Linked DNA regions of Kluyveromyces lactis. The protein of the gene in region 2 binds, or shares a complex with, the protein of the main gene of each other region. Links are inferred from orthologs where the notes say so. Each region holds a gene or a part of one and is shown on either strand. Other genes may lie near its edges. The genes, in order: BCS1, RIP1, QCR8, CYTB and QCR9.

What was found.
Region 1: the proteins of RIP1 (region 2) and BCS1 are in contact, whole or in part, in a cryo-EM structure (PDB 9GS2), measured with the Saccharomyces cerevisiae proteins. The link is inferred for Kluyveromyces lactis from reciprocal best matches to the Saccharomyces cerevisiae genes RIP1 and BCS1. Residues at the interface, in NP_010890.3 of Saccharomyces cerevisiae: Asp133, Met134, Ser135, Asp139, Pro140, Gln141, Thr142, Ala144, Asp145, Arg146, Val147, Lys148, Tyr205; in NP_010663.1 of Saccharomyces cerevisiae: Phe209, Gly210, Arg214, Asn297, Thr299, Arg302, His337.
Region 3: the proteins of RIP1 (region 2) and QCR8 are in contact, whole or in part, in a cryo-EM structure (PDB 8ABI), measured with the Yarrowia lipolytica proteins. The link is inferred for Kluyveromyces lactis from reciprocal best matches to the Saccharomyces cerevisiae genes RIP1 and QCR8. Residues at the interface, in XP_499709.1 of Yarrowia lipolytica: Thr42, Ile45, Pro46, Phe48, Thr49, Pro50, Tyr51, Leu52, Lys53, Arg56, Asn61, Arg62, Ser65, Tyr66; in XP_504875.1 of Yarrowia lipolytica: Ala23, Tyr25, Thr26, Ile27, Phe30, Ala31, Ala32, Arg33, Ala36.
Region 4: the proteins of RIP1 (region 2) and CYTB are in contact, whole or in part, in a cryo-EM structure (PDB 8EC0), measured with the Saccharomyces cerevisiae proteins. The link is inferred for Kluyveromyces lactis from reciprocal best matches to the Saccharomyces cerevisiae genes RIP1 and COB. Residues at the interface, in NP_010890.3 of Saccharomyces cerevisiae: Ile79, Met82, Thr83, Ala84, Thr85, Val88, Val108, Val109, Lys110, Gln112, Gly113, Lys114, Pro115, Ile158, Thr160, His161, Leu162, Gly163, Cys164, Val165, Ile167, Phe177, Pro179, Cys180, His181, Gly182, Ser183, His184, Gly194, Pro195; in NP_009315.1 of Saccharomyces cerevisiae: Trp142, Thr145, Val146, Asn149, Leu150, Trp164, Trp166, Gly167, Gly168, Phe169, Ser170, Val171, Ser172, Pro174, Arg178, Pro262, Leu263, Thr265, Pro266, Ala267, Ile269, Tyr279, Leu282, Arg283, Ile285, Pro286, Asp287, Lys288, Cys342, His343.
Region 5: the proteins of RIP1 (region 2) and QCR9 are in contact, whole or in part, in a crystal structure (PDB 4PD4), measured with the Saccharomyces cerevisiae proteins. The link is inferred for Kluyveromyces lactis from reciprocal best matches to the Saccharomyces cerevisiae genes RIP1 and QCR9. Residues at the interface, in NP_010890.3 of Saccharomyces cerevisiae: Asp48, Asp50, Lys51, Arg53, Ser54, Tyr55, Tyr57, Phe58, Gly61, Gly64, Leu65, Leu66, Ser68, Ala69, Lys72, Ser73, Glu76; in NP_011699.1 of Saccharomyces cerevisiae: Ser2, Phe3, Ser4, Tyr7, Lys8, Arg13, Asn14, Ala15, Val16, Ile21, Phe22, Gly24, Ala25, Phe26, Phe28, Gln29.

What each region holds. Positions count from the first base shown.
Region 1 is NC_006041.1:225,964-230,830, reverse strand, and holds BCS1 (bifunctional AAA family ATPase chaperone/translocase BCS1), read left to right. Parts: upstream 1-2,442; coding exon 2,443-3,783; downstream 3,784-4,867. Other genes in the region: ARH1 (NADPH-adrenodoxin reductase), read right to left, coding at 1-937; IAH1 (isoamyl acetate-hydrolyzing esterase), read left to right, coding at 1,454-2,179; KLLA0_E02465g (uncharacterized protein), read right to left, coding at 3,910-4,167; PHO92 (mRNA-binding phosphate metabolism regulator), read left to right, coding at 4,624-4,867.
Region 2 is NC_006041.1:2,012,018-2,016,042, reverse strand, and holds RIP1 (ubiquinol--cytochrome-c reductase catalytic subunit RIP1), read right to left. Parts: upstream 1,872-4,025; coding exon 1,230-1,871; downstream 1-1,229. Other genes in the region: KLLA0_E22595g (uncharacterized protein), read left to right, coding at 1-105; putative E3 ubiquitin-protein ligase HUL4, read right to left, coding at 2,623-4,025. UniProt on the Saccharomyces cerevisiae protein: Component of the ubiquinol-cytochrome c oxidoreductase, a multisubunit transmembrane complex that is part of the mitochondrial electron transport chain which drives oxidative phosphorylation.
Region 3 is NC_006037.1:608,756-612,507, forward strand, and holds QCR8 (ubiquinol--cytochrome-c reductase subunit 8), read left to right. Parts: upstream 1-2,299; coding exon 2,300-2,584; downstream 2,585-3,752. Other genes in the region: EBP2 (Ebp2p), read left to right, coding at 1-619; ERG20 (bifunctional (2E,6E)-farnesyl diphosphate synthase/dimethylallyltranstransferase), read left to right, coding at 955-2,004; protein kinase NNK1, read left to right, coding at 3,360-3,752. UniProt on the Saccharomyces cerevisiae protein: Component of the ubiquinol-cytochrome c oxidoreductase, a multisubunit transmembrane complex that is part of the mitochondrial electron transport chain which drives oxidative phosphorylation.
Region 4 is NC_006077.1:19,513-24,302, forward strand, and holds CYTB (apocytochrome b), read right to left. Parts: upstream 2,316-4,790; coding exon 1,155-2,315; downstream 1-1,154. UniProt on the Saccharomyces cerevisiae protein: Component of the ubiquinol-cytochrome c oxidoreductase, a multisubunit transmembrane complex that is part of the mitochondrial electron transport chain which drives oxidative phosphorylation.
Region 5 is NC_006042.1:1,407,864-1,412,200, reverse strand, and holds QCR9 (ubiquinol--cytochrome-c reductase subunit 9), read left to right. Parts: upstream 1-2,139; coding exon 2,140-2,208; intron 2,209-2,707; coding exon 2,708-2,914; downstream 2,915-4,337. Other genes in the region: E3 ubiquitin-protein ligase UBR1, read left to right, coding at 1-1,745; protein translocase subunit TIM13, read right to left, coding at 3,606-3,911. UniProt on the Saccharomyces cerevisiae protein: Component of the ubiquinol-cytochrome c oxidoreductase, a multisubunit transmembrane complex that is part of the mitochondrial electron transport chain which drives oxidative phosphorylation.

The DNA.
Region 1 (4,867 bases), about 1.8 Mb from region 2:
TATATCCAGTGGTCTCGTCTTTCAAGATTTCTAAAGGAGTCTTCAAATAATCAAGCTCCCAATTCTTCGTAAAGATTCCATTGGTTGGCTGAGGTAGTTTCTTATATTTTGCTGATCTTAACTCGAAAGGTTTCACGTATTCCGAACAAAGATCGACGCATCTTCTAAAAGATCTGACTTGCTCCTTCATCTCCCATTCTTCAGGCGTAAAAAATTTGCTGTCAATGTGACCCCTTACACCATATTCTTCTAGTAGCCACATTTCTCTTAGTTCTTTATTTGTGAACTTACTATTAGGGAAGTCTCTTCTGGCTATTAACTTCACATTTTCAATTGGAGCCTCTCGCAACTTATTCAATGCAATTGGGCTGATATCTGTACGGCCCCATATCGAATCTACATTATTGCTCAGTAGTAATCTTGCTAGGTCCAATGCCACGTTACCATTACCGATTATACCAACGTTCTTGACACTTTTCCAATCAAAGTCCATAAATTTAGGATGTAACGCAAAGTCTGGATGTCCATTATACCAATTCACAAATTGTCTACTAGTAAATACACCAGTAGTGTCATTTTCCCCAGGAATACCTAATTTCCTATCAGTGGCACATCCATAGCTTAACACGACAGCATCCTGCTTGCTTAGCAGCTTCGAAAGTTCTATATCTTTTCCGACTTCACAATTTCCGATAAAATTGAACTTATGTATTGAATCCTTCCCCATCACATCTTTGACAGTATCAGTAAACGTGTCCTCACAGTTCTTAACGTTAGGATGATCAGGCGCAACACCATACCTAGAAAGTCCGAATGGCACTGGTAGCCTTTCCCATATAGTCACTTCTAAAGGTACCTTAACATTTTGTAGCAGATGATGAGCGGTGTAAAACCCCGACGGACCTGACCCGATGATGGATACGTATTTTCGAACCATGATCCTTTTATTATGATAGTGCTACTCCAATTGAATGCAGTTTCAGCCAGGTACGTAGAGGTTTGCCGTTTTCTTGATCTATACATGTACTGTAACCTCGGTCAAACTTATTAATTGTCTGACAAGACATACACACCAGAAATGACTAAAAGAAGCTAACGTAAAATAAGACAGAGAAATGTAAGGAAAAGACTGTTGCAGCATTCCTGTTGCCTACTATAATTTGTCTTGTAGGACCGACTGCCGTCATGGTTCTGATCGGAATATATTAGCCGACCTTGTCCAACGGTATCAGTGAACTACGTTGATCGTTAAACCGTCGCTTTCCAGGGTAACTTCGAGTAACACCAATTACGTATTCTTGTCTCTCGATGCAACCCACCACAGATATATATATATATAGAAAGGGAAAGAGAGATGGAGTTTAATAGAGAATCACTCCATCTTCACAACACCGAGCATTGAAAAAGCAGTAAACAAGGTTAAGCAGAAAGACGCACATATACAGAGGAAATAATGGCTCTAACATATCAAAAGTTCTTATTATTTGGAGATTCCATCACCGAGTTCTCATTCAATACAAGAATGAATGGGGACCAGACTGATCAATTCTCACTTGGAGCGGCATTGGTCAATGCATACACCAGAAAGCTCGATATTGTTCAAAGAGGTTTTAGCGGATACAATTCTCGGTGGGCACTGAAACTCCTGCCAAAAATTTTGGAGCAAGAACAAGATGTGGCTATCAGTACGTTGTTCTTCGGTTCGAACGATTCCTGTCAACATGAGCAACAAAACGTGCCACTACCTGAATTCAAAGAAAACACCATCAAGCTGATTCAGATGATGAAAAATAAAGGAATTAAAGTTGTTGTGGTAGGCCCTGCTCTGCACGACCAAGACCACTGGTACTCGTTGAAGAAGCCAGAGGTTGATAAGGGTTACGTTCGTTCAAATGAATTGTATAAACAATATAGCGATGCTGCGGAAGAAGCTGCTCGTGAAGAAGATGTTGCATTCGTGAACCTGTACGAAGCGTTCAAAGACCAGGGCGATACATGGCCAGAGCTTTTATGTGATGGGTTGCATTTCACCGGCAAAGGTTACGAGGTGATGTTCAATGAAGTGCTGAAAGCCGTTAACAAACGCTATCCTGAATACTCACCCGAAAATGTCGAGTATAAATTGCCAAATTGGAGACTCGTTGAATCGAATGGGTCTACTTTAGATGCATTAATCTAACTAAATAAGAAAACTAAGTAAGTTTAGTGTATTGACTGATAGATCATAGAAATCCGAGGCCTCGATTTCCTCTTTGCACAAAGTAAATCTTTCTTGAACCTTATTACAATTGAAAAAAAAAGTGTCCACAATGAATATCAAGAGATGAGCTATCAACCAGACAAATTTGAAGTATATGAAAACTTGCAACATAAGTAGAAGTTTGATCCAGTACATTCTAGGAAAGTTAAACACTGTCCAAAGATAATTTAGAGAACTGCAAGATGGCGAGTAACGGTACGGGTGGACTTCCTCCTATAGATTTTGAAAAGGTGAGAAATGATTCTGACGGATCTGTCACTGGAATGGCTAAGGGTTTATTTAACCAGTTTATTGAAGGAAACCCATACTTTGCCGCTGGTGGTGGACTAATGGTTTTAGGTACATCTCTTGCATTACTGAGAAGGGGAGTGATATCAACAAGCAGATTGGCTTATCATCAATTGATCGTGGACCTTGAAATTCCAAGTAAAGATAAATCGTACTTATGGTTCTTGCAATGGATGTCAAGATATCCCCATAGGTCATCAAGACACTTGTCAGTGGAGACCAATTATTTACAGCATAATAACGGTTCTGTGAGTACCGAAGTGAATTTTGTTCCAGGTGTCGGAAATCACTTGATAAGATATAAAGGCGCATTCATGCTGATTAAACGAGAAAGATCGGGGCAAATAGCAAACATTACAAATGGTACACCATTTGAAACTGTAAAGCTAACCACATTATATCGTGATAGACATTTGTTCCAAGAATTGTTGATGGAGGCTAAAGACTTGGCGGTGAAAGCTCAAACAGGTAAAACAGTGATCTACACCTCTTGGGCTAACGAATGGAGACCGTTTGGTCAACCAAAGGCTAAAAGAAACTTAAAGAGTGTTATCTTGGATAACGGATTGAAGGAGAGCATCTTAAATGATGTAAATGATTTCTTACAAAATGGTAAATGGTACTACGATCGTGGTATCCCGTATAGAAGAGGATATCTTTTATACGGCCCACCGGGAAGTGGTAAGACATCATTCATTCAAGCATTGGCTGGTGAGTTGGACTACAATATCTGCATTATGAACCTTGCGGACCCCAATCTTACTGATGATAGATTAAACTATCTTATGAACAACCTTCCAGAAAGAAGTTTAATGTTGTTAGAAGATATCGACGCAGCATTTGTTAAAAGAAGCAAGAACGATGAAGGTTTCGTTAACGGAGTCACTTTTAGCGGCCTTCTGAACGCATTAGACGGTGTCGCATCCAGTGAAGAGATAATTACATTCATGACGACCAACCACCCTGAAAAACTAGATCCTGCCGTGATGAGACCAGGTAGAATCGATTATAAAACATACGTTGGAAATGCTACCGAATACCAAATCAAACAAATGTTCTTAAGATTTTATCCAGAAGAGAAAGAACTATGCGAGCAGTTTGTTCAAAAAGCTGTTGAACTGGACACACCAATCTCTACGGCACAACTACAAGGTTTGTTTGTCTTCAACAAACAAAACCCAAAGAATGCAGTACTGATGGTAGAATCCTTACGCTATCCAAACCATGTCTTTTGACTGTAAATAATCCGTAACCTTCAAATATATATGTACATACACACTTCTATACAAGCACCCAACACGATATATATAGGCTTGAAAAGGAACTGATAGAGATGAAAGAGAAATCCATCTTAATCTCTTTCAATCCTCATTGTTATCAGGTGACGACTCGAGTATCAAATCTTTTGCATCACGTAAATGGCCAACGGATATCGTTCTTGTGCCATCCTTTTCTGCCTGTAGCTTCGCTTCATCCATTAGCTTCCGAATAAGATCAGCAAACAGACATCCAATTAAGGTCTCCTCAGCCTCACTTGGCTCATCTAAGGTTCCTAATGTGTTGTCTCTAATTCGGCCCAGTAGCCCGTCAACTACAATCCTTCGAAGATGCTCGCTCATGCAGAAAATTGCACATAAAACTGTCAAGAACAACACTTCCCTGTGTAACCTAAAACTATTCGTCTCCTAGGTACAATTGAACTCTAATAAAAGTAAACATCTCTCTCCTACTATCACTTATCTATATCCATATCTATTAAACTATCATTATCTTTCTATGTAGGCAAATCTGCTGCTATAGCGTTTTCTGATGTCTCCTGTGTTTTTTTCTTCGAAACTTTAATGTAATCAGCGGAAAAATGATAAGGACTGGTCTCAGATATGACAGTTTAGATTTTTTTGGTTAAGTTTCGAAACTGACATAAACTCTTATAAAACGAGGAGACGCGCAAGTAAACATCAAGTGAGATTAATGTAATTTTTGAATTGAGTTGCCATAAGTAAGAATTCTGAAGGTTGTGTTGGGCAATATTAAGTTGAGAAGAATATATTAACTTTTTAGGTTCAGTGTGAAAAATGTGTAATATTCAAATGGATCTATGGACGGAATTGTTCCTGCTGAATGCCTCATCGAAGTTTGATTTTGATGATAAAAATAATGCCAGTAACGGTAATGCTTGGTATAAAGACCGTTCTGATACTCAGGAAAAGATAGTTCCTAAAGGTTTCAATGATGAAGAATCCTTTGATACAAGCGGCGGATCTAGTTTCATAGAAAGTCTAATGTCAAACATGGATGGTTTTTTCTCCACAGCTTCTA
Region 2 (4,025 bases):
ATAAGAAAAGAGATGTGTGATATGCTAACCGAATGGGATCGAGAAAATTGGCAGCGAATTCCAGATGATCTTGAAAGCTTGTTAGAAGCTAACCCAGAACTTTAGTCTACAAACAGCACTGGATTTTTCAAGGGTTCCCAATTTTCGGCGTTCAAATGGATTAAATTTGTTCATTTCTTTTAAAAGAGTATGTGGGGAATATACATATACATATAATATATAATCTTGGCATCGTTAACAGAGTATATAAATAACAGGAAACAAACCTTAATATGATAAAAAATTTGAATCCCTAGAGAGAAAGGTAATCTCAATTTAAATTAATTGTTCGTCAATTTCTCTATTCTTATGGTAAAATATTTTGGTTGGAAGAGATTTTTTTAGGTTTTTATGGTTTGGGTTAACAGTTTTTGAGACATCTTAAGAGTATAGGATTGATTAATTGAATTTATTTTTCTCGTGATTAGCGGGAAAATAGGCAAATTAAAAGCGAAATAATGACATCCCATTGCAATACCAATGCATTGTTCCTAGGCCTAAATCTCGTTGAAAAAGGGAAATCAAAGGTTAAAGTTACTATTGACAGATTAATCCAATACTCCCGCTTTTCTTTAAATACGTGTCTGACCTTTTATGGAAAAGAAGGCGATACAACATTAAGCGATTCAGATTGTAGGTATAACCATGCATCGGGTAGAGCAGGACTATTTCAAAGATTTTGGAATATAATAAAAGGGTTTCAATCACGGTAGTAGCCTGATGTGGTCATTCAGGTATTAATGCGATTGTTTCTCAGTGCAGTTAAAAGGAAAAGTGATGACATACAATTGAACAATGCTTCAAAAGCATTTCATGCTTGCTATCCTTTTAGTTTGCTTGAGCTATGGGGGCACGGGTAGTTGTGGTTTCAAAAATGTTTGTATGAATAAATAATAATAAATCGGGTAGTGATGATGGAACGTGAAAAAACGAGCTTACACGATTCCAATATGACAAACTTTAGCATAAAAGATATTGACCTTGGTTGTGAATCCTACTTGGAAAATACATGGGGGGAGTAGGAGACATCAACATGGGAATAAAGAATTTTATTAGTGAAAGCTGGAGTGAGAAGGACAAAGAGAAAGAGAAAAAGGAAGAGAGTTAAATTTGAGAAATAGCAAAAAAAGGTAGCCTATTTCAACAATTTATCAACATAATATAATCTTTTTTTAGCTTTCCTTCTGCGCTTAACCGACAATCAAGTTTTCACCATCGAATTCATATTGAGGGATTTCCAAGTTCAATGGAGCTGGACCCTTTCTGATTCTACCGGAGATATCGTAATGGGAACCGTGACATGGACAGAACCAACCACCGAAATCACCAGATTCACCGATAGGAACACAACCCAAATGAGTACAGATACCCAACATGACTAACCATTCTGGCTTTTGAACTCTGTCAGAATCAGTTTGAGGATCCTTCAAAGCTGACATATCAACACTGTTAGCTTCTTGAATCTCATGGTCGGTTCTGTGTCTGATGAAAACTGGCTTACCTTGCCATTTCACAACGACATTTTTACCTTCTGGAATAGCAGCCAAGTTGACTTCGACCTTAGCCATAGCCAAAACATCTGCAGATGCAGACATAGAAGCGATGAAAGTTTCAACGGTGGATTTGGCACCGGCAGAGGACAACAAACCTAAAGAACCAACCATAAAGTAAGCATAAGAACGACCTTTGTCAGCATCGTTATTCTCCTTGATATAGTCTCCGAAATCTGGAGTTCTGTAAGTAGACTTGGCAGCAACTGCAGAAGTAGAAATTAATCTGGCTGGAGCAACAGACTTCAAACCAGTCTTCAAACCGTTTCTTAAACCCAACATTTTTGATATTAGTTAGTTATGGATATATCGCTAGAGTGTATTATTCGTACTAATTTCCCGTTCTTATTTCGGAGAAATCGTTTCTATGATATCGACTTTAATCACAACAGCAAAGCACTCTCGGAGTATCAATAAATATATACACAGATATGAATCACCAAGCCAGATTATAAAATATATATATCAATGCAAAAATGTTGTTGGAACTGAAAGTAATAATAAAATGATTGTACTAAATCTTTTTCTATTTTATTTTATTCAGAGAAATTATCAAATTATCTCTATCCATATTAAACAGAAGCCATTGCAGCTTAATAAGTGCGGAAGGAAGCAAAAAAAAAAAAAACAAAGAAAAATTTCAGATTGGGAAAAAAGCCAATAGTAAGAAGCGCTAAAGGATTAAACAAGATATAATTCGACCAGACAGGAATGGACAGTGTAAATGAGCTGGGACGAGGCAGAACTTCCTGGTGTGGTTATTATTTTCCAATTTACAAGTATACAATTTTATTTGCGTAAATGGTCAAGTATAGGAAGATTTTCTTGGTGGAAATGATAACTGACACTAGGGCCTTTGGGCCTAGTGTCAGTAAAACGCTTCGCATTTAACGGCTTTCACATAGTAGCTGTAAGTGTCCATTTCCTTGTGTTTTCTGGTTATTCAAGGGAAGCAGGTTTTTCTGTAAAGCCTGGTTCACGATATGATTGGTTCGTTTGTAGTGATTATATTAATGTATGTTTGTTGCTGACATTATTTAAACCCATAACCCTCATACATTTCGAGGGCAGTCACCAATCGCAGAAGAAGAGTATCACGTGACTCATATTCGTACAAGCAGAGTTCGTTGAAACAGGTATGGGCAGTGGGCAACTGATCATGTGATCCGGACGTTGTGCGGGTTACCTTGAACGGAAGCGTCGCAAGTCCCGTCACTGGAACTCTGTCACTCCCAGTCACGAAATGGAGAAATTGACGTTGCTGTTCATGGGATAATTGTGGTAGTATTTCCCATAGCCATTCCACTACCGGGGTTTGGTTATGGAATCCGCCTTGGTATTTCGTCACAGCGCGAAGTTGTTCGAAATCCATGTCTTGTTCTATGCTGCCACAGATGAGCCTTTCTACTTCACAACTTTTGAACATCGGGAAAGCCAAACCATCCCCGATGACTCTTGTAAACCCGGATTGGAATGCACTAAAACTCGATGAGACCCCCTCATTCATATAAAAATTTACCCACCTTTCAACAAACTCTGTCTTATTCTCCGAGGTTACTGGGATTGATTCTCCTCCGTCACATAACGGTTTCGTGACGTTGATACCACTGGCTACATCGTAATACGTGGTCTCAAACGACAATCCAAATATATCACTAAAATCTAGTTCCGAATAACTCAACATTTTCTTTAAATTTCTTGCTGTCTCAGGGTACAACTCCTCATAATCTTCAAAAGTGATCCGCTCATTGCATAGTTTCTTGTACATGGCCCTCGCAAAATGTAAGTCCAATATAGTACTGTTATATATTGCAAGACCTAACACTACTCCAAACAAATAGTATAGTTCATTGTTGTTCTCTCCATGAAGCTTAAGACCGGTGTTCCCATATGCAAACCAAGATAATCGGCTTTCTTCCACGTATTGAAATAGTCCATGGTTTGGATGAAACAATTCCCTAGTCAATAAAAGGAACCATTCTTTCTTTAAACCGCCAGCATCGATTCCAGGCTCATTCGAGAACTCCACTCTTAGGGATTTTTTCAAATCATGTGGATGTCGTTGAATGGACGTTAGCGAATCCTGTGTCACATGGCTTCGTCTTACCTTTATTCGGAAATGTACATCGTAAAGTTTACGAGAGTCCAACGCCTTTAAGAACGCTTGCTCAGCGTTATGTTCCATCATTTTCCCAGTTTCGAACTCCATTATGGCTATCTTAACGCCTAAGGACATCAAAAAAGGGTACTGGCATAAGGCAGTATAGTGCGTTTCATGTAACTGTGTCATGGATAAATCGTCAAGGGTCCTCCATTGCTCTCTATTCATCTTATGCCACATCATAAAATCACGTTTGTAATCAATGAAATCAATTATCATATTGTAAAAAACCGAGATGTCACATTTTGGCTGTTCACAATGAGCTTGAAAGTATA
Region 3 (3,752 bases), on a different chromosome or scaffold from region 2:
TCAATCCGTCACCTCTCAACTCAACACCGACGAAAAGATCAAGGACATCTACGATGACACTGAAAGAGAATTAGCATTTTACAAACAGTCTTTGGATGCTGTCACCATCGCCCGTGAAAAGCTAAAGAAATTGAAGGTCCCATTCAAGAGACCTTTAGATTATTTCGCCGAAATGGTTAAGAGTGATGAACATATGGACAGACTAAAGGGTAAATTGATAAAGGAGGCAAGTGAAAAGAAGGCCCGTCAAGAAGCTAGAAGACAAAGAGACTTAAAGAAATTCGGTAAACAAGTGCAAGTGGCTACTCTACAACAACGTCAAAAGGATAAGAGAGAAACACTCGATAAGATTAAGGACTTGAAGAAGAAGAGAAAGCACAACGAAATCGGCGGTGACGATTTCGATATCGGTGTCGAAGACGCCGCCCAATCGGAAAAGAAGCATAAACCAAATTTCAAGAGAGAAGCTAAGAATTCCAAATACGGTTCAGGTGGTTTGAAACGTTACAAGAGAAAGAACGATGCCCAATCCTCCGCTGAAATGCCAGAATTCTCCCAAAGAAAGATGAAGGGTAAGGCACCACGTCCAGGCAAGTCCAAGCGTTCAAGAAGACACTGAGAGTAACTAATAGAGGAGCAAGAACGTACATGTACAATAGCATTACCACCACGAGATACTTCTTCCTCCATAATGTATGTAAATTCATGTATACTGCAAGTATATGTATTACGTTAAAGAAATTTTTACCCGGACATGAATAATACAAACGTGATTTGACTATCTCGTTTAAAGCCGTTTCGAAATCACGAACTTTGGAACATTCCACCATACTGATTGCGTTGAAGTATATTAACAGGTTATGTACCATTCAGCTGAGTTCAGCAGGCAATTCAATTGAGGAACGTTCTACCATTGGTACCTGAAACGAATAGACAACGAACCTGATAGATAGAATGAGTGATAACAGAGCCCAGTTTTTGGAAGTGTTCCCATCATTAGTACAAGAGCTTAGAGACATCTTGGCCGGGTACGGTATGCCCGAAGAAGCCATCGAATGGTACGAAAAATCATTGAACTACAACACCCCAGGTGGTAAGTTGAACCGTGGTCTTTCTGTCGTTGACACATACGCGCTTTTGAAAGGTTACAAGTCAGTGAGCGAACTATCTGCAGAAGAGTACAAGAAGGTTGCCATCCTTGGTTGGTGTATTGAACTGTTGCAAGCGTACTTCTTGGTTGCTGATGACATGATGGACCAATCGATCACAAGAAGAGGACAACCATGTTGGTACAAAGTGGAAAACGTCGGCGACATTGCGATCAACGATGCATTCATGTTGGAAGGTGCCATCTACTGTCTGTTGAAGAAACACTTCAGAACAGAGCCATACTACGTCGATCTATTGGAATTGTTCCATGACGTTACTTTTCAAACCGAATTGGGTCAGTTGTTGGATTTGATCACTGCACCAGAGGACAAAGTCGACTTATCCAAGTTCTCTTTGGAAAAGCATTCCTTCATCGTTATCTTCAAGACTGCATACTACTCTTTCTACTTAGCAGTGGCACTGGCCATGTTTGCTGCCGGTATTACCGACTCAAAGGACTTGAAACAGGCCAGCGACGTATTGATCCCATTGGGAGAATATTTCCAAATCCAAGACGATTTCTTGGATTGTTTCGGTAAACCAGAAGATATCGGTAAGATTGGTACCGATATCCAAGACAACAAATGTTCTTGGGTCATCAACGTTGCATTGAAGAATGCTACAAAAGAACAAAGAGATATCTTGGACGAAAACTACGGTAGAAAGGATTCTGAAAAGGAACAAAAATGTAGAGCTGTATTCAACGAATTGAACATCCAAGACATCTACCACAAGTACGAAGAAGAAACCGCTTCCAACTTAAGAGAGAAAATCGCTAACATCGACGAATCCCGTGGGTTCAAGGCCGAAGTTCTAACCTTGTTCTTGAACAAAATATACCACAGAAAGAAGTAGGTAAAGCATATATTATCTAACCATTTTAGATCACGTGCAACTAAATAAATAAAAGTAAGTTTCACTACCAGTATCACTGTATACGAACCAATAATACTACGTTTCGGCCTTTTCGCTTCTAAAAGACGAAGTCTTGAAAATCTTCCAGCGAGGGAAAAAGCTTTATATATAAGAAATAAGCTTTAAACCTCTACTTATTCAGATATTCAAATGATGCAAAGATGGAAAACTATTATACATAGTTTAGTCTCTGACTCAGTATCCGCAAGACCAAGAATTAAAATATTAAGACGAAATGGGTGGTCCACATGCTAAGGCTTACATGGGCTGGTGGGGTAGTATAGGTTCCCCAGCCCAAAAGGGTATTACTACATACACTGTTTCTCCATATGCTCAAAAGCCATTGAACAACATCTTCCACAACGCTGTTTTTAACACATTTAGAAGAGTTAAGAGCCAAATTTTGTACATGGCTCTTCCAGCTGCTTTGTACTGGGCTTGGTGGGTCAACTGCAGAGACTACAACGCTTACTTGTACACTAAGGCCGGTAGAGAAGAATTAGAAAGAGTTAACGTTTAAACAATGTTATTACAACACTAGACTAGTTCCTTTCTTTCTTCTGTCCAGGTTTAAAAGCTTACATGGAAAAAGAGGTGCGGCAGCACCCTTTTGACACTTTTATCAACATTCAAGATATATTTCTCACGTCACAAGAACATTTTTTATCATGTCAGGCCATCGAAAAGAGTTTCAGTATTATTAGATACTATTGAAAAGGAGAGAGCGAGTGGAAGTTCACATCCTCGGTTTTTAATTCTCTCTTTTCGGGTTTGGCTCAGTACCGTATTTATTGGAGGTTTTCATCAAGTGGTTACTCCCCTCAAATATATCTTCTATACTTCACTGTTTATACGAATTTGAAAAACTACTTTATTATGAATACTTACATCTGCGTGTCAAGGGCGTGATCGTCGTGCTCATATGTCGACGATCGGTGTGCTTGCCTGTTTTACATGTATATATATATATAGATGGATAAGTTTCTCCACTAATGAAAGTCACGTGACGTTATTACTTTCCCCCCGTAAAGGGTATTTAATCCAATAAAACGGATTTTAACGAGTTTCCAATATCAAAACATTAGTCGATTCTCACTGTTTAAAGGGTAAACAGGAAACATCGCTATCGACTGGTACTCAACGATTTTATTGTTACGAGACAAGCGAGATATTGAAGATAAGAAACTTATCGTCTTCTTTTCTTTCTATTCTTTTTTTCCTGGTTCTTCAAGGAAAGAATCGATACTCTAGTGTGACTCGATCCACACTCGCACTCATTTTGTTTTCACCAGGAGATGTCTTCGAGCTATAATGTTGGCTCAGGAATGAAACGGTCTAATACCCCAACGTTGTATGAACGAGATTTCCCTAGTGAGGTGGTTTCGGTTGGATCATTACAGTCTTTGACTCAAAGAGAGGATAATGAAAGAGACTCTTTCAAACTACGACATAAGAATGACTCTTATAATCATGCGGTAAATTTTAACATCGGCTCTTCTAGAACTAGTGAATCTTATCAAGAATCCAGTGATTATGAAGAGCAGCTTTCCTTTAAGCCAAGAAGGATGCGTAAAGGTGATACGAATTCTACGCTAACCAATACAAATCTCAGTAACAACGACAACGATAACAGTACTAATAATAGTAATAGTCGTTTGACTAGGGTTTACTCAGAAACAGAGAAAGCG
Region 4 (4,790 bases), on a different chromosome or scaffold from region 2:
ATAATACTATAAGCGTAGTATATCATAGAAAGGAAGGAGTATATAATCCCGCGGATCATTATGATCCGCGAGAAAACGTGATTTTCTAATTATACTGATAATATTAATATATAAAATTATATATTATAATTATATAATATATTATATATGTTTTAGTAACCCCGCGGCTCCTCCCCTTTAAAGGGATTACTAGGAGACCGCGGGGAAAATATTAAATAATATTATTTAATATTATTTAATTAATAATAATTTATTTTAAAGTTACATACCCCGCGGCTCGTTTCCGGGATATCCCGGAAACGAGACCGCGGGGAATTATAAAATAATATAAACCCCGGGAAAAATATATATAATAATGTTTTTTCATATATTCTACCTTCTATATATTAATATTACTCCTTTGGGACTATTATTATAATAATATTCACCCTGATAAAAATCAGGGTTCGCGGAATTAAAAACATTGGAATATTTTTAATATAATAAAAATATAATTAATTATTATTATATACCATAGGAATAAAATTATATATTATATGTAATATGTAATCCCGCGGTATACTTTATATGTATACCGCGGGGGGGGGAGAGATATAATTTATAAATTTTATTTAATATAATATATATATTAAATAAAAAAAAGAATATTGAAATAATTTTATTATTAATTACTATTTAACATTTTTAAAATTAAAATATTTTCCCCGCGGACTCGTCCCCGGGATACCCCGGGGACGAGCCGCGGGGTTTATATTATTTTCATAATTAAATAATACTTTTTTTAATTTTAAACTATTACTCTTCCCCACGCGGCTCATCCAACCCTTTATGAGGGTTGGATGATGCCGCATTTGCGGGGCTTCTAAATCTAAATATTCAAATAATAAATCCCCCGCGGTCTCATCCTCTGGGATTACCAGAGGATGAGCCGCGGGGTTAATTATGTTTTGATTTTACTTCATTATAACATTTATAATATTCTTCCCCACGCGGTACACCCAACCCTTTATAAGGGTTGGGTGATGCCGCATTTGTGGGGCTTATTTTGATTTAAATTTAATCATTATTAATATTTTGAGAATAATATCTTTTTTGATTATTATTAAAAATAGATAAAAAAGAATATTGATTAGTTAAATTATTACCTTTAATAATTACTTTGCATTTTTTCTACCTACATAGAATAATACATTTTCAATTGTTGATACAACTGGTACAATAACTAAGAAGTATGCAAAATAAATTACAGTAGCAATTTGTCCCATTACAACAAAAGGAGGCTCTACATGACATTCTCCTAAGTGGCCTAATAATACAAAGTTAGCAATAAATAAGAAGAAGAAGAATTTAGAGAATACTTTAAATGCGTTACCTCTAATAACACTTCTATCTGTAATAGGTAATACTAATAAAATTAAAATAGCACCAAACATAGCTAATACTCCTAATAATTTATCAGGTACTGATCTTAAAATTGCATAGAATGGTAATAAATATCATTCTGGTACAATAGATGCAGGTGTAACTAATGGATTACCAGGAATATAGTTATCTGGATGTCCCATTGTATTAGGTGAGAAGAATACAAATAATGAGAAGAAGAATAAGAATACAAATACAGTAATTAAATCTTTAAAAATAAAGTAACCATGCATTGGTAATCTATCTAAATTACCTGTAACACCTAAAGGATTTGATGAACCATGTGTATGTAATGCCATAAAATGCATAATTACAAATGCAGCAATAATAAATGGTACTAAATAATGGAAAGCGAAGAATCTTTGAATAGTAGGATTAGAAACTGAGAATCCACCTCATAATCATGATACAATATCATTACCAATAAATGGAATAGCTGAGAATAAATTAGTAATAACTGTAGCACCTCAATGACTCATTTGTCCATATACACAACAGTATCCTAAGAAAGCAGCAGCCATTGTTAATACAAAAATAATAACACCAACATTTCATACTAATGTTCTAGGAGCTCTATATGAACCATAATATAAACCTTTACCAATATGAATATACATACAAATAAAGAAGAATGATGCACCATTAGCATGAGCATATCTAATAAATCATCCTCCTTGAACATCTCTCATAATATGTTCAACAGCTGAGAATGCTAATTCAATATTAGATGAATAATGCATAGCTAAAAAAATACCTGTACAAATTTGAATTACTAAACATAATCCTAATAATGATCCTAAATTTCATCAATAATTAATTGATGAAGGTTGTGGTGAATCAATCATATAACTATTTAATAAATTTAAATAAATATTAGATTTTCTAAATGACATATTTTATTTGAATTATTATATTTTTAAATATATATATAAATATAATATATATTAAATATATAATATAAATATTATATATTCCCCACGACGAACGTCGTGGAGGAGCCGCGGGGCCCTTATATAAATATGACCCCCGCGGATCACCCGACCCTTTATGAGGGTCGGGTGATGCCACGGGAGAAAGGGATAAATATATAATTATAATAATATAATTATGTATAATTTATATATATTATTTATATGAATATCCCCGCGAAATTATTTATAATTTCGCGGGAGATAAATAAATATTTTATAAATATAATATTATTGTATTATATATATAATAATATATATATAATAATTATTATAATAATATAATAAATATATTATTATCAAGTAATTTGATACATATATAATATATATGTATATTGATTATTATTTTATAATTATATATTACTTCTAATATATCCCACGGATATACTTGGTAATATATCCAGCCCCCGCGACATGACCCTTTATGAGGGTCATGTCGCGGGGGAGAAGGGATTATAAAATATATAACCTTAATCGGAATTGAACCGATATTTTCAACATGAAGAGATGATGTCGTAACCATTAGACGATAAGGTCTGTTATATTAGAGATTCGAACTCCAAACCTTTCGATTACAAAACGAACGCTCTACCAATTGAGCTAATATAACTACTATTAACTTATATATAGATTCCCCCCGCGGCCTCACCCAACCGTAGGGTTGGGTGTGCCGCGGGGGGTAAGTTAATTAAAACTATCTCGCTAAATTATCCCTATTTAAGGGAACTAATTTATTATTTTATATATATAGAATATATAAAAATATATATATATATATTATGAAAATATATGCCTAAAAGGCGAATTGTAATTTCTTCCCCGGGGCTCACAACCTAGGTTGTGAGCCGCGGGGTAATCATTATTTATTAATTTTATTATATAATATATTAATATATAATATACAAAAATATATATATATATATAATCCTCGTATTTCAACCCATAAGGAATTGGGAGATTATATAATATGTAATAAAAGGGTATATATAATAATAGAATACCCCGCCATATTGCCAATATTGGCAATATGGCGGGATTATGTAAATATATAAACTCCCGCCATTAGTCGTATGACTAATGGCGAAATACTAATTTATTATTATTTTTATATAAATAATATTATTATATAAAAATTTATATCAAAGCCCTATACGAGGTATTTGGTTACTATTAATATAGATATAATATCTATAAACCCCCCCCTTAAAAGGGGGGTAAGATATTCCCGCCATAATATATCCCTTAGGGATATATTATGGCGGAGTATAAATAATAATATCAATATTTATTATTAAAAAAATTATTATATATATTTATATATATTTTAATAATTAATATTATTAAGAATATATATATAATTCTTTATTTAATTTTAGCCCCCCCCGCGGTCTCTCACCCAACGAATGTAGGGTGATGAACCGCGGGGAATAATAATATTTATATATATTTATATATATTTTATACATATAAAATAATAATCTTATCCCCGCCATATATACCTATTAGGTATATATGGCGGGAATGGATATAATGATATATAATATTATATATATATTTTTATAATTATTTCGTAGAAATAATATTATGAATATAAGGCTATACCCGCCATTATTACCAATATTGGTAATAATGGCGGGGTATATATTTATTTATAGATCTTTATATATTAAATATATAATATATATGAGAAGTATAATTCCCGCCATTATCTATTAGATAATGGCGGGGATATTAATCCCGCCATATATTTATTATAATAAATATATGGCGGAATACTAATAAATTAATAAATATATAATAATAATTATAATATTTATTTAAATATATAAATATTTATATATTAAATTCCTATGAATGATATTGCATTTGCAGAGTTGAATATAATTAAATATAAAATTCCCGCCATTAGTCTTAAGACTAATGGCGGGATATATATATATATATATATATCTTTTATATATATTATATATTTATTTTTTATAATATATATAATATATAATTATATAATTATATAATTGTATACCGCCCCGATATTTATTATAAATATCGGGGGCGATTATTGTCATATTATATCATATCCTATATTATATATAATTATTATATATATCTATTAATAATAATACATATTATTCCCCGCGGCTCATCACCCATACATTCGTTGGGTGAGAGACCGCGGGGGGATAAATAATTAGGGAAATTATATAATACAATATATTATATACAATATTTATACTATATTAATATATATAATATATATTATAATATATTAATAATAATAATAATTATATTATTAATATCTAGAATATATATATAAATTACTATATAATATATATAATAGTTATATAATTAAGTATTCCCATAACATGGGAATCGGGGGATTATATAATATAATATAATAAT
Region 5 (4,337 bases), on a different chromosome or scaffold from region 2:
ATCGCAATGATCCTACTTGGATCCAGGATAGGTTTTTAACTCTCTCTCTTCAGTTTTCTAACAACATCTGTATGCTAGAGATGTTGTCCAGGCTTAATAAAGATCCTTTTGGAACACTCTTATCAGGTGAAGAACAGAAATTTAAGACACTGCAGAACATTCTCAAGTCCTTGGCTGTCTACACACGATTAACTAAGCATACTGAAGAGAATGTACTCAAATTCTATGAAGATATTCGTAGCAGCAATTTACCAAGTTATCCGTTTTTCCGAGTTGTTGAAACGGTATTAAGGTCTAGACTTTCCTTTAAGGATTGTTTACAGGAAGTACTCGTGGAGCGTTTGAAGGGTCTGACAAAAGACTTTGGGTCTTTCTATAGGAAATATGAATCCGAGCTTCGAGCCCAGACTTGCCTTGACTCCTCTGAATTTTCAATTGTATTGAAAACAACGATATTAGGAGCTGGATTTGGTGATCAAGTTGAAAAGCACACCTTGGATTTGTTCTATACCTTCTTAATTTCTGAATTGCTACCTACGCTAAGGAGATCAATTATCTTGCTGAAGGCCTTAAAGCAATTTATGACAGGGGGGGATGATTTAGATTTTAATGAAAAAGATGTGCTGAGTGGTAGCCTTACTTCCGAAAGCAAAGAAAAACATTTCCATCTTTTGATAAGATTTTTGCTCCAGACTGATTTTTATGACTTGTTGATGAATTCGCATTCTCCTCTCTCCCCTGAAAGCTCCTTGGTTAATGCTCCACATGAGTACTGCAGTATCATCAAATTAACCGATTTAGCAACTCATTTGAATACTTATGTGACTAATAATAAAAACATTACTTTGCGTGAAGAGAATGATCAAAAAATTAGAAATACTGTCAACAGACTTGATTATAAAATTTGTTTGATATGTGGTGTCAAGATTCACGCACGTACAGATGGCCTTGAAATGCAAAAGCACATGGAAAGGTGTTCCCATGGTTCCAGTGGGTTGTTTTTAATTCCTAATATCAGTCAAGTGTGCCTCTATTTAAGTAGACCGGACTGTACCGTCAACATTTCGGCCCCTTATTTGAACTCACACGGTGAATCAGGAAGAAACGCTATCGAACGAGGTGATCTAACAGTATTAAATCATGCTAGATATGAACATTTAACTCGTCTTTGGATTTCAAATGGTATCCCCGGTTATATCAGCCGAGTAATGGGGGACGAATTCAGGGTTGCGATGGCAAATAACCGAACATTTACGAGGAACATGTTTTGGAGACCTGGTGCTGCTTTCAACGCTGGTGGGGAGAGCAGTGACGAGGACCTTATGAACGATGATGAGTTTGGGAATGATGATCGTCCAGATCTAAGGTTTAGACAGCCTGATGTTGAATTACGCATCAATGGTGGACCATTCGGTGGAGATATCCCTATAAGATTACCAACCGAAAGAGGTGACATACATGATTTTTTCGAGTTTGTTCAAAACATGAGAGGGGGTATGCAAGGTGATGGCGCAGACATTCCGACTACAGAAGATATCATTGAACAACTGCAAGGAAATGCAATGAATGGATTCTTCGGCCGTGCAGATAGAAATAGAGAGCACTTTGAACTGAATGATCAAAGTGACGGCAATGAAGATGGTGAGGACGAAGAGCACGAAAACAACGCTTCGGAAGATCAAGACACGGAATACAGTTCTGCAGAAGAAGGTTTTGATTTCAACGAGTTAAATAACGTAGAATGAATAACTTTTTGCTCGTCACACCTCAAAATTGCCTTAACCTTATGGCACCATTCACAACTTCAATGTACCAAATATATATAGAATAGCACGTTATTTCGTTTATGCACACATCGATATAAGATATTTTTACTAGTTTTGCATAAATCTGCAATATGTGGAGTGGACTGACCACAGGATACTATGCCGTCCAATATCTTACAGAATCTTTTATTGTAGCCTGACTCTGTCCCACCCTTTGATAATTCATGTTGAAAGTACTCCCAGTACTAGACTTTTGCACGTGATTACTTCTGGATATCATACCATACGACCCAATTATATCCGAGTACGGAACTTTTCTTCAAATTTTTGAAAAACTGGATAAATGTATAAAACGGAAAGCTAACTTCGACTGATGCCAAAGACAAGGTTTAATAAGAAAAAGTTCAGCTCAACAGAAACCAGAACTCCCGTTTTAGAAATGGTATGTTAATGATTTGATTAGTCATGGATAATACATATGATATGCGTCTTTTCTGGATCTGAAAACATTGATTTTGGCGTAGATGTCTTATTTGACTTCTGGAATTGAGAAACCGAAAACTGGGAACTGAAAAAACTGTTTGTAAACACGATGCAAATTACATTGAGCAGATGCTAATGTACAATTATACTATTATTAGTGAAATATACTTCCAAAGCTGAATGTCTGCATATCCCGTGGTGTTTCCGATGCCTGTTAAGGTTCCCTGGAGGTATGACCGATATCTCCATATAATAGAAAGGCAGTCTCAATACTACATTTATCTTCGAAGTACGACCATGGCTTATCGCATGTATATCAGTTACATCAAACAAGTGAAGAATGGACACCTTCTGGGCAAAATCCAGCGGCTGTTTTCCCAGATCATTGCGGATTGACTACATGAAATATTAGATCATATTACTAACAATTATTTTTCTGAACAACTTAATTATCACAGTCTTTCGCCTCTACTCTGTACAAAACTGTCTTTAAGAGAAACTCTGTTTTCGTTGGTACCGTGTTCGCCTCTGCCTTCGTTTTCCAAGCTGCCTTCGATACTGGTGTGACCTCTTGGTACGAAAACCACAACAAAGGTAAGTTATGGAAAGATATCAAGGGTGGTATCATGAACGGTGGTGAAGAAGATGAAGAAGACGATGAATAAGTTTCTTTTGACATTTGAATTATATCATTTCTCATCATTATACTTTTAAGTGTCTTTTCATTGATGCTTTTGTTCAATTATTTTACTTCTTAGAATATACCGTCACTTCAAAACATATTTTAAAAATGTGGATACGCTACTGTCGGGAAACATTTATCTATCCGGCACTCCATACGTCTACCAGGCCTAGGACATCAACTTTGGAATGATGTTCTCAGATTTTCATAACATTCATCCTTTTCGCTATCGGAATCTCACTCGATTCAAGAGATAAAAAGGGTAAAACATATATGACCATAAAGCGTGAATATCTGCGCATTGATGTTCATCTTATTTGTTGTTAGCTGTTTTTCCCTCTACTCCTATTTATTTTCAACTCACTTATTTGAAATCTCATCAATCAATCACATATGCGGCTCAATTGTATTTAAATACAATGTATTGTTTGTGCTGTTTCTGTGTATTAATCATGTCTATACGATAATAAAAAAGAATTACCCATTATTTGTGTACCAATACCGTACTTTTGTTTATATATATATACCTGAATTTATTCGACGGGTATGAAATAGCATTCATAATGTATGATTATACGTAAGACGCGAATATAACATTATACAAATCTATATACATGTAGCTTGTAATGAATCAGAGCATTAAATAACTTCTTTTATCTCAAAAGTTGCGCCCCTTAGATTTCACCGTTAACCGAAGCTTGCTGAATTCTGTTAATGTAAGCCTTTGAAATGGCATTCCAACTTCTCATATATTTAGCCAAACATTGGTCGACGCAGTTATCTTGAGAAGCAGCATATGGAGCATTCAGACATTTCTCAAAACAGTTCTCAGTGACTTTGTTAACTAACTCGGTAGCATTGGCGATGGCTAATTCTTGAGAGATTTGAGATTTAAGTTGGGTCTTGACATCGCTAGGACTGGATGTGGCTGGGGTACCAGATGATGAAGAGCTACCACCAAAGATCGAAGTTAAAGCCATATCTTAATGTGTTCTATGATAGATTATTGATCCGATGCAATGTTCAGAGGGGCCTGGATGATAGATTATAGCTGTTAATTGTAGATTGCCAATGGATATTTCAGTTTATGCTAAAGCTTCAAATCATTAGTTTTTTTTTTCAATATGAGGAAGAAACATTCCTTCACATCGAGCAGCAATGGAAGGGATAGATAACTATTGTTTCAGCCCGTTTCACAACCTCTCCTTTCCTGCGATTTACCGCGTTATTGGAAGATATGTTTGGAAGTTCCCCAGAGTGATTTACTTACTAATATGAACCACTGTCCAAGTACTTGTCACACGGAGCATATATGTAGTCGCATGATTATCATTACGTTACTGTACCCCAAACTTAGTACAACAGACATCAACAAATACTAGGCATCGGTGGTTTAGTGGTAAAAT